Cricetulus griseus: one gene and its partner. The protein of the gene in region 1 interacts with the protein of each later gene in a pairwise test. Links are inferred from orthologs where the notes say so. Each region holds a gene or a part of one and is shown on either strand. Other genes may lie near its edges.

What was found. The genes of interacting proteins can lie anywhere in the genome.
Region 2: the proteins of Cebpe (region 1) and CCAAT/enhancer-binding protein gamma interact in a two-hybrid assay, tested with the Homo sapiens proteins (2 studies listed by BioGRID and IntAct, with this or other methods). The link is inferred for Cricetulus griseus from reciprocal best matches to the Homo sapiens genes CEBPE and CEBPG.

The regions. Positions count from the first base shown.
Region 1 is NW_023276807.1:209,924,409-209,931,350, reverse strand, and holds Cebpe (CCAAT/enhancer-binding protein epsilon), read left to right. Parts: upstream 1-2,861; 5' UTR 2,862-3,411; coding exon 3,412-3,921; intron 3,922-4,483; coding exon 4,484-4,819; 3' UTR 4,820-4,990; downstream 4,991-6,942. UniProt on the Homo sapiens protein: Transcriptional activator. C/EBP are DNA-binding proteins that recognize two different motifs: the CCAAT homology common to many promoters and the enhanced core homology common to many enhancers.
Region 2 is NC_048602.1:3,445,757-3,452,165, reverse strand, and holds the end of CCAAT/enhancer-binding protein gamma, read right to left. Parts: intron 5,164-6,409; 5' UTR 5,067-5,163; coding exon 4,614-5,066; 3' UTR 1,665-4,613; downstream 1-1,664. UniProt on the Homo sapiens protein: Transcription factor that binds to the promoter and the enhancer regions of target genes. Binds to the enhancer element PRE-I (positive regulatory element-I) of the IL-4 gene. Binds to the promoter and the enhancer of the immunoglobulin heavy chain.

The DNA of each region.
Region 1 (6,942 bases):
AGCAACTGCGGTAGCAACAGGAAAATGATCCCGCTGAGCTTGGAAGCGCCCCTTCCCCCAGTAAGGACCTCCCAGTCTTTAGTGGCATTGCCTTCCCGCCTCACTCCCTGCTTTCCCAACCCCCTTCTCCGGCTACCCTATCTGGACCCCTGGTACTTATGCCTCAGTTACTAGGAAACGCTGCTATCAGCCTGCAGGCAGCGCCAGCTCCTTCAGTCCAGACACCTGCATCACTAATTTCACTGGGACACAAGCTGCAGACCTCCTCATTTCCTGCTGGCTGTATCTGTACACCTCCCGGAGGGAGTTCAGCGCTTCCTTGAAGCTCCCCCCGCCGCCCCTCCCCCCGCCACTGGTGGCAGCCAGCTAGGCGGAAGATTCCCTGACTCATAAACACCTACTCCATCCCTCTGTCCCCAGGGCCATTTCAAGAACAAGCCTGCAGCCCTTTCAGAGATCAACAAAACATCCTCCTGCTAGTGTATAGCTCAGCCTCTCCTTATTTTCCTTGTCGATGAAATTAGGATAAAAATACTGCTTTGCCTCTCCCACTTGGCTCACAGCAAAATGGTCAGCATGAAAAAGTGCACGCTCCATCGATGGAAAAAAAGCATTAATTTATCAGATGACACCAGGCCAACCCATTATCGTTATTCCACAGTCAAGGAGAGGGACAGATTTTCTCTTTGAGTCAGGTCCTGGCACCAATCCCCTAGCCCTCCCCACCCCATTGCTACCTGACTGCGAGTCTCCAGTCCTAAGCCTCCTCGTGGTGCTTCCCAGAGCTGAGCTTTCAGGGCTGGCGTCAGGGTTAAGAAAGGCTGCCCCCTGCTGTCCACCTGGTTCCAAACCATTGCAGTGCCGAACTATTTAGGACGTATTCATTTAGGAACCAATACCGTCACCTAGTGGCCAATAACGACAGGTCACCAAACTGAAATCTCTTAGCTTTGATATCTATTTGTCAGGGACCTGTAGAATGAAAAGCAGAAATTGCCTCCCCCCCCCCCTTCTGGTGCTCTGCTTCTAGGATACGGGTGGCTCTCATCCTGCTCCTCCAGGGCTTTTGGAGGAAGCATATTTGGCCATAATTCAGGCTGTGCTCAGAACATGTGGGGCAAATTGTGGCATTAGAGAAGATGTCATGGAGGTTTCTATCAAGGATACAATGTCTGACTTGTGGGCAAGTTACATTTGCAGTTTTATTTTAGTGTTCAATGACATATGTATGCTATCCAAGCTTACCCCTGCTGTGACCCCCTCATAGTTACCTGGCCCTTGGAATACTCAGCTTAGAAAATACTCGGTTCTTAGGGTAGGAGAGGTGGCTCAGTGGTTAAGAGCACTCACTGCTCTTCCGGATGACCTGAGTTTGGCTCCAAGCACCCATATTGGGTGCCTCACAGAAGCCTGTAATTTAGTGCCAGAAGATCTAACATCTCTGACTTGAGAAGCCAGATATCTTTCTGATATCTTCTGGAAACCTCGAAGTGTGCACATACCCACATGCACACGCACACACGTGCGTGCACACACACCCCTACAATTTAAAAAATAAAGACATTTAAAAAAGAAATGTGTCCTGTGATTTCCAGGACAGTCTCCAAACCTACAGAGAAACCCTGTCTTGGAAAAAAAAGAAAAGAAAAAGAAAAGGAAAAAAGAATCTGTCCCTCTCCCCAGAACATGTTAGTAATAAAAGAGACAAGAAGGTATGATGTCACACCTGTCAACTCAGCTCTAGGGAGGCTGAAGCAGGAAGACTGAGAGTTCAAGGCCAGCCTAGGCAAACAGGGAGCCTCAGCCTAAACAAATAAAAAGGAGTCAGGCAGTGGGGGCACACACCTTTAATCCCAGCACTCGGGAGGCAGAGACAGGTGGATCTCTGAGTTTGAGGCCAGCCTGGTCTACAGAGCAAGTTCCAGGATAGCCAGGGCTACACAGAGAAACCCTGTCTCAAAAAAAAGGGGGGGGGAGAAAGAAAGGAAAAAAAGAGAGAAAGGAAGGAAGGAAACACATTTCTCATTTCTACGTGTTTTCTTGCCACTAAACCTGGAGCCCTGCTTGAAGGGCTCTAGAAAACCAGAACCACAACAGATACCTCTGACTAGGGAGCAGGGCATTCCCAAAAGGAAAAGAAAAGTGAAATTTGGGGATTAGTGGACAATGAAGAACAGTCAGGCAACTACAGGCTTCTCCTATGGTCGCAGAGACATCCCCAAGAAGAGGTGAGGACAAGAGAGAAGACTTCTCAAGCTTACAAGAGGAAGTGGACACACTAGAGGTCAGAAAACAGTCATGCAGAAGGAAAGACAGCAAACGAAGCTACAGTGAGCTCCAGAGCCTGCATGCACACCAGAGCACAGGAAGTAGGAGGCAGAGCCTCTAGCCAGTGTGGGGTGGGGTCAGCCTGAGCCTCTTTCAGTGAAGGTGGAGCAACTGGGGCCTCCATGGATCTTGTCTGTCTGTTCTGGGGCAGCAGCCTGTGAGGTTCAGGGCCCATGTCTTGACCAGAAACCTCAGCTATGTCCAGGCAAACTGTGGCAGGCTGCTAGAGGTAGCCAGGATGGGAAGCATGTGAACAAGCCCTGTACAAAGACCAAGCCAAAGACCCTTAATAAAGCTGCACTCTGGAGGCAAAGGCGGGCAGACCTCTGCGAGTTCAAGGCCAGCCTGAACTACATAGTGAGACCCTGTCTCAAAACTAGCAAATGAGTGTGCCCTGTGCTAGGGCCAGGGGAGGCTTGGTCCTAGAATCTATTACTACTTCCCAAAACCCTCAAACAATGATGCCTACACTGGGGAGAATGCTGTGGGAGGTGGGGCTATACAAGGAACTGACTTACCCCCCGGGGAGGTGGAGTTCAGGACTTGGGGGGACAGGGAGGAAGATGGCTCAAGGGAGGAGTTTAGACCAAGTTGGCACTGGAGGAGTGCTTTCTCTACTGGCTCTGGCTTGGTGCCCTACTCTGCACAGATCTTTCTGGAAGCTGGAGGAAGACAGACACTCAGAGGAGCTACCCTGGACAAGGGGTTGGAATCCCTTAACCTAATAGGACAAGAGGGGACATTTTCCCAAACAGCAACTTCTGGACTGTGGCTGGGGCCTCACCAAAGAGCGCCCTAACTGCTAAGCACCCCTCCCTCTGGGGTGTGCCCTGCCCCTCCCTGACTCACACCAAGGAGAGAGGGGAAAAGGGAAGAAAGGAGAGGCTCTGACTACAGAAGGAAAAGGAAGCAGAGGAGGAGGAGAGAAGCCACGTAGGAGTGGGGGACAGAAAAGACCAGAGAGGTCAGACCTAGGGCAACTCTAGGGCCGGGGGAGATCAAGAGAGGGCAGGCTGAGCGTTCATCCCAAGGAGTGCCCCAGCACAGGACCCAGGGGCGGGGAGCCAAAGGGGCGGGACGGCTATGTCCCACGGGACCTACTATGAGTGTGAGCCTCGGGGTGGCCAGCAGCCACTCGAGTTCTCAGGGGGTCGAGCTGGGCCCGGGGAGCTGGGGGACATGTGTGAGCATGAGGCCTCCATCGACCTATCTGCCTACATCGAGTCTGGGGAAGAGCAGCTACTTTCTGACCTCTTTGCCATGAAGCCAGCACCTGAAGCCCGAAACCTTAAGGGCCCAGGAACCCCTTCGTTCCCCCACTACCTGCCGGCTGACCCTCGGCCATTTGCTTATCCCTCACATACGTTTGGCCCAGATAGGAAGGCTTTGGGGCCTGGCATTTACGGTAACCCAGGGAGCTACGACCCCAGGGCTGTGGCCGTGAAGGAGGAGCCCCGTGGGCCAGAGGGCAGCCGAGGTACCAGCCGAGGCGGCTACAATCCCCTGCAGTACCAAGTGGCACACTGTGGGCAGACAGCAGTGCACCTTCCCCCGACCCTGGCAGCACCTGGCCAGCCTCTACGCGTCCTCAAGGTAAGACCAAGACAGCTCTCCCTTGGTTCCTCCCCGGGTTGGAGCAAGATGGTTGGTTGGATGAGGGAACTCTGACATGGGGCTTACCCAACAAGTCTATGTTTGGTGCTCCTCTGTGAAAACGGCCCACTCCACGGCCTCGCTTCCCCACTCCGTGAATTCCGAGCTCCACTGTGTCCTGAAGACCTTGTGGTAGCTGCTCTGCCCTAATCTGCGGTCCATATACCCCTTCTCTTGCTTCTCGGCTGTGTGCTTCTGGAAGAGGAAATACTGCTGATTGTAGAATTGTAGAACAGGAGACTTAAAACAGACAAACCAAAGGAAAGTGTCCTAAGAGAAAATGAGAGCATGAAAGACAGCTTTGATCTCAAACCAAATACCAAGTGCATCTGGGTTCCCGTCTTTCACAGAGAAAGGGCAATGACTGGGAGATGGGAGCGGCCTGGGAGCCCTCTATTCCTTGGAAGCCCCAAGTGTGCCCTTGCTGCTGGGATTCCTGCTCAGCCCCTATTTTGCCTGCTGATGGACCCTCACTTCTCTGTCCCTCTGACTTGCCCTCCAGGCCCCTGTGGCTGCTGCTGCCCCTCCCTGCAGCCCCCTACTCAAGGCACCTTCCCCAGCTGGGCCCTCACACAAGGGCAAGAAGGCAGTGAACAAAGATAGCCTGGAGTACCGGCTGCGACGCGAACGCAACAACATTGCAGTACGCAAGAGCCGGGACAAGGCCAAGAGGCGCATTATGGAGACACAGCAGAAGGTGCTGGAGTACATGGCTGAAAACGAACGCCTGCGCAGCCGTGTGGAGCAGCTCACCCAGGAGCTAGACACCCTTCGCAACCTCTTCCGCCAGATCCCTGAAGCTGCCAGCCTTATCAAGGGTGTAGGGGGCTGCAGTTGAGCCTGCTTGGCAGACTATGGACACCAGACCCTAAGGACTCCTACCCTCCTCGGTCCCCAGAGTCCTGAACAGACGATGCCTAAAATAGGGATCATGGACAATGGCAGCCAGTAGCTGGGAAGGTCGGGACCATAAAGATTCTGTTGCTGAATAAACTGCAGTGTGACTTGATGCTGGAGCTGTTCACTGGGTCTCGGGCCTGGGCCTGGTGGGAGGGCTGTGCATATACACGCATGGAAGACCCCGAGGGCAGGGAATACATGTGGCTAGGTTCACATGTTCTTGTATCCGTGTACACATGAACACCTAGTAAATAAACCTAGTAATTGCTGCCCACAACTCTCTCCAGCCGAGCTTGCTTGGTGTCACCACTGCTCATGCCAGGGCCTGCAGCAGCCTCTGCAGACTGTCTTGTCTTGAAGAATTCTGGGGTTCAGGGTGATCCCAACACTGCACAGCACCAGTGCCAGGCCCACTGACCCTAGGCCCGCTTTCTTGCTTTAAGGCCTGGAAGCTCTTTTCCCAGGTGACTTTCTAATGACTCTGCCATATTTGTGGTCCCTTAGCTCTTGACCCAGCTCTCTGTCTCTCTTCTCTTGTTCCACATCTCCACTCCTATCTTTATTTCTCATCCCCTAGGCCCTGGCTCCCTAACACTGGAGAAGATGAACACCTGGGGAGAAGTCAGTTAGGATGTAAAACCCCGCATTCCACGTGTTTTCTTTCCCATAGAACTGCAGCCCAAGAAGCAAAACTGTATAATAATTGAGTCTCGGTTTGCATCTCTGACTTGTAGCCTGTCTGACCCTGAACCAGTTACCTCTCCTTTCAGTGCCTTGGTTTCCCCATCTGCACAAGAGGAATCTCGGTACCTATCCCGTGTGTTATTTTCATAGAGAAATGGGGTTTGACATGTGGTGAGCGTGCATATCTGTTCTGATTCCGTTTTGCTAGAGACAAAAAGACATCGGATCGCCTCCAAACTTCTCTTTTTGCAGGTGAGGAGCCTGGGGCCCCAGAGAAAGGAAGAGACTGCCTGGAGTCACACAACGATGTGAAGGCAGAATCAAAATTAGCTCCGTGAAATCACAGATCTCAAGAGGTTCTAGGAGAGACCTCAAGAGATCATCTGTGCGAGCTTTGCCCTCAGACAAGCAAGATAGTGTGAGCCACATCTTGTAGATAAAGCAGGGAGGGCCAAAGGGGATAAGAGCTCACTCAGTCCTTTGCTGCCTCAGCACAGGGTACGTCTTTCACATTCTCCCCTCAGAGAAAACAGCACAGATGTGCCACACGTGCCACAGTCAAGAAAGAATTGTGGGGGCTGGGGCTGGGGCAGAGTTGGCAGCGTGCTTGCCTAATATTTACAAGACCTGGGTTCCATCCTGAGCACTGAAAAACAAGAAAAAGTAACAGTGAACTGCCCCACAATGTTAGAGACTAGGCAGGATAAGAACTACAGTGTGGGGGCTGGAGAGATGGCTCAGTGGTTAAGAGCACTGGCTGTTCTTCCAGAGGACCCGGGTTCAATTCCCAGTACCCACATGGCAGCTTACAACTGTCTATAACTCCAGTTCCAGGAGATCTAATACCTTCACACCAATGCACATAAAATAAACTTAAATAAACTAGTTTGAAGAGCTACAGTGTGTGTGTTTGGGGGGCTTGGGTGGGGGCTGGTGTATATGGATCATCACAGGTCTGTTTCTCTTTCCACTTCAGACCTCAGTGGTACAAGCTATCACACATCCCGGGTATCTGTGTGCACCAGGCTAACTGTGGCCAAAACTCTTCCCACATCTGCCTCAGCACCCTCTCTTTTCCCTGTGTCCTTGAGTCCTCAGCCAAGCTCAGATCAGGGTGATCAGACTTGAACCTTTGGCTGGAAGGGACCGATGGAGGCAGCTTGAGTAGGAGGTAAAGGTGCCCTCTCTATGGCACCTGGGAAAATCCTCTCACCTTGCCTTCAGCCCTTGGGATGCATAAGGGGGGTTGCACAGAATGCAGCTGGTGGCTCAGTCTCACAGTTCCCTCCACTTGGCTTAAGGCCACCCCAGCTACCCCAGGACTCCTTTTGAAGACATTAACTGGCAGCTCTGCTTTGTCTGAGCTTCTTTCCCATG
Region 2 (6,409 bases), on another chromosome or scaffold:
CCCCTCTGAAGCCTCATGCCAACATTATAACCCCAGTGTTGCCTCAGACAATGCAACACTCCATCGAGGAAAAGGGCAGGATTGGCCTTGTACGGCTAAACCCAGAGGGGGGTTTGAGGTGAAAAACAAGAGACGCTACTTTCTAAACAGAAAGAGCTGCAAGAGGTACAAGGGAGGGCGAAGGTGCCACACACCAAGACCAGGGAGCAGAGAGGTTCTGGACAGCGTGTGAGGCGGTGCTGCCCAGGACTGAGTGGTAGGGTCTGAAGCAGACAAGTTCCAGGGGCACACAGAGGTCCAGCTCAAGCTTCGTGCTCCAGAAAGGCACCTGACAGCCGCTTCACAGGGAGGGCTGAGTCGGGGGATGGGACTTTTTTTTTAATGCACAGGATACAGTTATGAACTCTTCACACATGTACAGGCACTTTGAGGACTGGTCATTCTAAAGGTGTTTTTATTAAGACCTGGTTCCGTCACAAAGTATAAAAACTTCTAATACAAGTTATGAGAAATACACTCCAACTAGAGCAGGAGATTTCAGCTCGGTTGGCAGAGTACTCACCTAGCATACACAAAGCTCCAGCTTCAAGCCCCAGTGTCACACAAAATCCAGAGGTAGTGGTACATACCTGTAATCACAGCACTTCAGAGGTAGAGACAGGAAGTCAGACGCTCAAAGTCAGAGTTGGCTACATAGCAAGGTGAAGGCCAGCCTTGGCTACATTGAGAACTTCTCACTAAAACTAAAAACAAACAAAAATTCACCTAATTGACTCAAACAAAGTAGGACAGAACACCAGTAGAATTGATTACTATGCTACAATTTTTGGGGGGGGGTGTTTGTTTTTTGAGACAAGGTTGCTCTGTGTAGCCCTGGCTGTCCTAGAACTCACTCTATAGACCAACCAGGCTGACCTTGAACTCGGAGATACGCCTGCCTCTGCCTCCCGAGCACTGGGATTAAAGGCGTGTGCCATCACCATCCAGCTTTTTTTTTTTTTTTTTAAACAAGGTCTCACTGGTACTCAGGCTAGCCTGAATTCAAGATCCTCATCTCCATAATGCTGGGATTACAAGTGTGCACCACTGCACGAAGACACAATTTTCATGATCATGCAACAATCTGAAATTCAGTTCCCCAAACACAAGACTCAAAGAACCAGAGGAAAGCATCTCATTTTTTCTCCCTTAAAAGACACAATTCAAACTGGTTACTTGGACTCACGCTAATTCACTTCCATAGCCAGGCACTGTCAAGATGGTATTGGTACTCTCAACTGTATACACCGTTAGGGACAGACAGGCTTCAGGTGGAAACCACAGGCTAGGAACCACCAGGAGACAGCAGCCCCTTTCATGTCCCCTACTCCAGGGTGCAGTTTAAGTTAGGCCAAACAACTACAAACAACTGAAGATGCATTCCAAGTTTAGAGTAAACTACTCCACTGTCTACTCAGGGAAATCCAAACTTGCACAAAAGCCCCCTGCTTGAAATTATGTAATGACCATGACCCCGCCCCCCCACCCCTCACCCCTCACCCCTCACCCCTCAGCCCAGCCCAGCCCAGGACAGCAGCAGGAGGTACCTTGCAGGATCTTTGGGGCCAATTACAAGTGAACTTCTTGCTCACCTCCAAGATAGAGAAACCCACAAAGAAAACCAGTCATTGTTCCAAAGGTGTTTATTTTTAAATTCGTTGAAAGAAATAAAATTATATTTAAAAAAATAGAGTAATCTCAAACTGAAAGCCAAGAACAAAGAGAACAAGTTAGTATTTTTCCTGAGAGGCATGTGATCAGCTCTATGAAATCTTCCCTAACCTGTCAAACACACAGGCAGCTTTCCTATTTCTAAGGCATCACAAGCACTCTGGGTGCTCATGGGTTGTTCAGGCACGAAGGAAGCTTCAGCCCTCCAGTTGGGGGTGGGGGTGGGGGCAGGGGGCGCAGAGACAGCAAACACCGCTGCATTTCCTTTCTTATCAACTGAACATGTTTCTACTTTCATAAATTGGGAAGTGTAAAAGATGAGTGGACTCGCCACCTGGATTTCAAACCCCCCTGTCACAGAGGGCCAGGCGCAGAAGGAAAGCTGACCCTCCCTCTGCACCTGTAACTAGTCAAAGGGAACCCATCCCAGGAGACACAGCTGGACTCCTAAACAACCAGACCTGTCCACAAGGCAGATCAAACTCTAAAGGTTCCCCAGAAATGAGTGACAAAAGCCACTTTACAATTTCCAAAGTCCTAAGCTTCCCTACTCACCAAACCTGGTTTCCCCCAATTTTACACTGAGACAACTATCAAGCTAAGCATCATTTCTACTTTAGTAAGAAAGTTCCAAGGCCAGCTAACGTTTGTGCTCTATGCAGAACTGCTTGCTGGTGCTAAGGATCTGATTTTGAAGGTAAGGGCAGTTGGAACTGGTTTGTATTGAGCACTGCCTTCCCTACGGCCTGTGTAAGTCCTTGCACCGTGACCACAAATTCCACGAGCACATCCGTTTGTGAAAGCTGGTGTGTGGAGTAGGAGTTTCCAATGTCTGAAGGTATTTACAGATTCAAGGAGGACCTAATTGGTCTCCCATTAAGTTCATTACATAATTTCAATCAGCTGGTAAAGATTAGGATTGTTTGGGAGCATCCTTGTCAGTCAGACAAAACATCTACCAATCTTGATGAGTAGATGGCTATTCCAACCAAGGGAAAGTGGTGCTGGACCCTAACTTTTAAAAACTCCACTCATTTCTTGGTTCCCTAAGAACGGTGTCCGCTCCTGTCTTCGGCACAGTGGCCCTAAAAGGCTTTGCTGAGCTGCAGGGCACCAAACTCTTCTGCCACGCTCGGGGAGTAACCTGAGTTACACTGGGGCTACAGTAACCGAGTCTTAGTAGGAAACAGGGCCAGAAATGACCATGTTCAGACAAGATTCCAGGCAACACAAACTGTAATCATGCAAGACTCAGGTTTTAGTCACCATCTCAGGAACCAACAAATTTTAGCCAGGAACTGTGCAAAACCCACGAAGTTCCAAAGACAATCTAAACTACAGCAATGATAAAAGTAGAGCCCCTAGAGACACCCTATCGGCTTTTCAGTTTCACAACAAAAAAGTCAGTATCCTGAGTTTCATCAGCATTTTCTCTCTAAAATAATTTATACAAAACATAAAAGCATACTAATGGATACACGGAGACAATGAAACATTAAGTCTGGAAGAACAAACACCCCATTAAACTAGAAAAGAAATGCCTCAAAAAAAGAAAAATACAGATTTAGGAAATAAATTAAAGATTGAAACCTTATACTTTCAAGTTTTCTTTGACTATTCTTTTGAGAGACGGCATGAAGTTGATACATTTTTCTAGTAATCATTTAGTAGGGATCAAAGGCCCAAGCGTGCCTCTTCACACTTGCACACACACAAACCCTGCCTTTAAAAATCATGGCCCCCTTGGCAGTTATTCTCAACACAGGAAAAACCAAAAGAATTAGTATTCATTTTGTTTGTTTGTTTTTGAGACAGGATTTCTCTGTGTAGCACTGCCTGTCCTGGAACTCACTTTGTAGACCAGGCTGGCCTTGAACTCACAGAGATCCACCTCCCTCTGCCTCCAGAGGGCTGGGACTAAAGGTATGTGACATCATGACCAGCATAAACTAGTTTTCTAAAGCATGGTCTGTATCATCCAGCCAAGGCATTTTATTTACTAAGTTGGCTGTCCAAAAAAAAAAAAAATTTAAAGGTGCTCCCCCCGCCCAACAAATGTTACTTTTACTAGCATTCACAGAAACTAAAATGTCAGTACAGGTAGACACTTTTTTAGGACTCAAGATAATGCTAATCCAATAAAGCAAAGGACCCCAAAGTCCAATCCTTCTCTCTCTATGCCCTTTAAAACAAACATGGGGGGAAAACAAAACCACTTCTTTCCTTCCAATAAAGCAAAGGACCCCAAAGTCCAATCCTCCTCTCTCTATGCCCTTTAAAACAAACACGGGGGGAAAACAAAACCACTTCTTTCCTTCCTAAATGCAATTTGTATTTTTAAACACCTCTCTGATGTGACCTGAATGGGGTTTCTTTACTTTGCCTGAAGTCGTTTTAAAAAATATAGACGTACTCGTTGGGAAAACCAATGCCAATTATGCAAACACAGGTTTATACTAGCTATAAAATGGGGCCAAATTATTATGACTGGTTTCTGAAGCCCTAGAATTTACAATACACAATTTAAACTAAAATCACGAATCCAGGAACAGAGATGGAATCCAGCGTTTCTTAATCCAAGGTACTGTCTCATTAAAACCCTAACCCTTCTACATGGCCTTCCATTTTCCCGTTCCTAGAAAAAGAAACATTTCTGGGGAAGTCAGGATTTATTAAGAATAGTAAGGTCCAGGAATTTTATTTTAACCATAAACCCTAAGTTTTCTTTTAGTGCTTCAAAGACCCATTATCATTAAGACCAGATAAATTACATGGCTAATCCACTGTTCAGTACTGAGCCTAGAAAATAACCTCAGATGGAACAAGACCAAGCTCAGCCACTGAACTGGCGGTGCAGGTGTTCACACCTCTCGAGTTCAGGTCCATGGCGCCTGGAAGGAGAACTACTGCCCTGTGTTGTCAGAATGTGTCGTGGTAGCTTCAGTGCTGACAGGCTGCACGTTGTCTGCGAGGTTGTGTGCGTGCTCGAGAAACAAGTCTTTCAGTACACTCAACTCCTTTGTCAGCAACTTAATTTTGGCTTCCAACCGTTCATTCTCTTCTTTGAGCTGGTTCACTCTTTGAAGTGTATCTTGAGCTTTCTGCTTGCTTTTTAATCGACTCTTTTTCACGGCCATATTGTTCCGCTCTCTGCGCTGGCGATACTCGTCACTATTTCGATCCATGGGCGAACTCTTTTTGCTTTGCTTGCTTGGAGGCGCAGCTTTGCCTCCTCCCCCGGGCCCGGCAGGCACCAGCTGAGGGACCTGCTGTAAGCCACTGGCATGTGCCTGAGTGTGAATGACACTTATTCCGTTCACTCCTGGAGCAGTGGCTGGCTGCGACAGCTTGCTCATTTGGGCGAGTTCCTTTGCCAACACAGAACAGGCAGAAATCAGAGCAGTGTGACCAGCAGAGGCTACACCCCAAGTGCCAAAAAATCTTCACATGTACCTAGTTAGAAAACAAGTTGCGTTAAAATATTTGAAATGACAGGATCAAGTAAGATTAAACTTGCGTGGACCTAACATAGCAGGCAACCATTAATTTTGGTTTTGCTGACACAAACAACTGCCAAATGTTGCAGTGTTTCCAAATTTCAAAGGTAAGTTGATTCAGAAGCCAGCCCCACCTGAGGCTAGCGGTGATCATCAAAAAGAAAAAAAAAAAAAAGAAAAAAAAATTAAGCCTAGCACAAATCAGGTAGCATATGTGAGCTAAGAGCACGTGGACAATCTGCCGGGGAGAAGTCTGAGCTGTCTGGTTGGGGCCAGCATGGGGAAGCAAGTTCAATTGCTATAGAAGGGCCGGCCACCTGCAACCAGAGGAGGGGTGTTTCAAGTCAGGTCAGAATGCTGGAGCAGAAGGCCCAGCCTGCAGAACCCATGAGGGTCAAATCGATCGGGGGCCTCCCCAGTCAATATTCCCAGGGTGACTTAGCAGTGGCATCACCTATTGTGTGGGCTATTTTTTTAAGGCAGGGTATTTTCAGTTGGTTAGCTGATTTGCCTTTTTGCATTTCAGCAAGCTTAAATGACAGTTTACTGAAATTTACTCAGGCGGCCTCTGTTCGGGAACGGAGACATCCAATAGAGTACCCCCCTTCCAGCCTGTGTCAGTTTTTCATTCGTGACACAATCACTTAGCCCAGCAAACTTCTATCTCCAAAAAATATTTACATCACAATTCATAGCAGTAGCAAAATTACAACTATGAAGCAGCAATGAAAGTAATTTTATGGTGGGGGGGTCACCACAACATGAGGAACTGTGAGGAAGGGTCAAAACATACGGATTCACAAAAGAAACAATGTTCTAATGACACAGCCAAGGAAGGCCAAACACTGGAACCCAGGCTGGCCCAAGGACAGGGCAGCCACTGTTGGTACCCACTTCTCACTCTCAGAGCTCAGCAGACTCACTGAAGCACTTCTGCGAAAGCCCCCGAGACCTGGCTGGCTATCTATCACCTGTGAAAGCACACCTGCTCCATCCCCAAGAGGACATGTCACTATAAACCCAACAGCTGAATCAACCATGTCCACCTAGGAGACACAGCACCCTTTGAAAGCACTGTGACCCATCACACCGCCCTGCTCTCTTCCCAGAACTGCTAAATAATGGACAAAGTTAGGAAGTTAACTGGAGTTAGGAAAATGCTCCAGTGAGACACCCGGTCCAGTCAGTAAACATCAACAGCT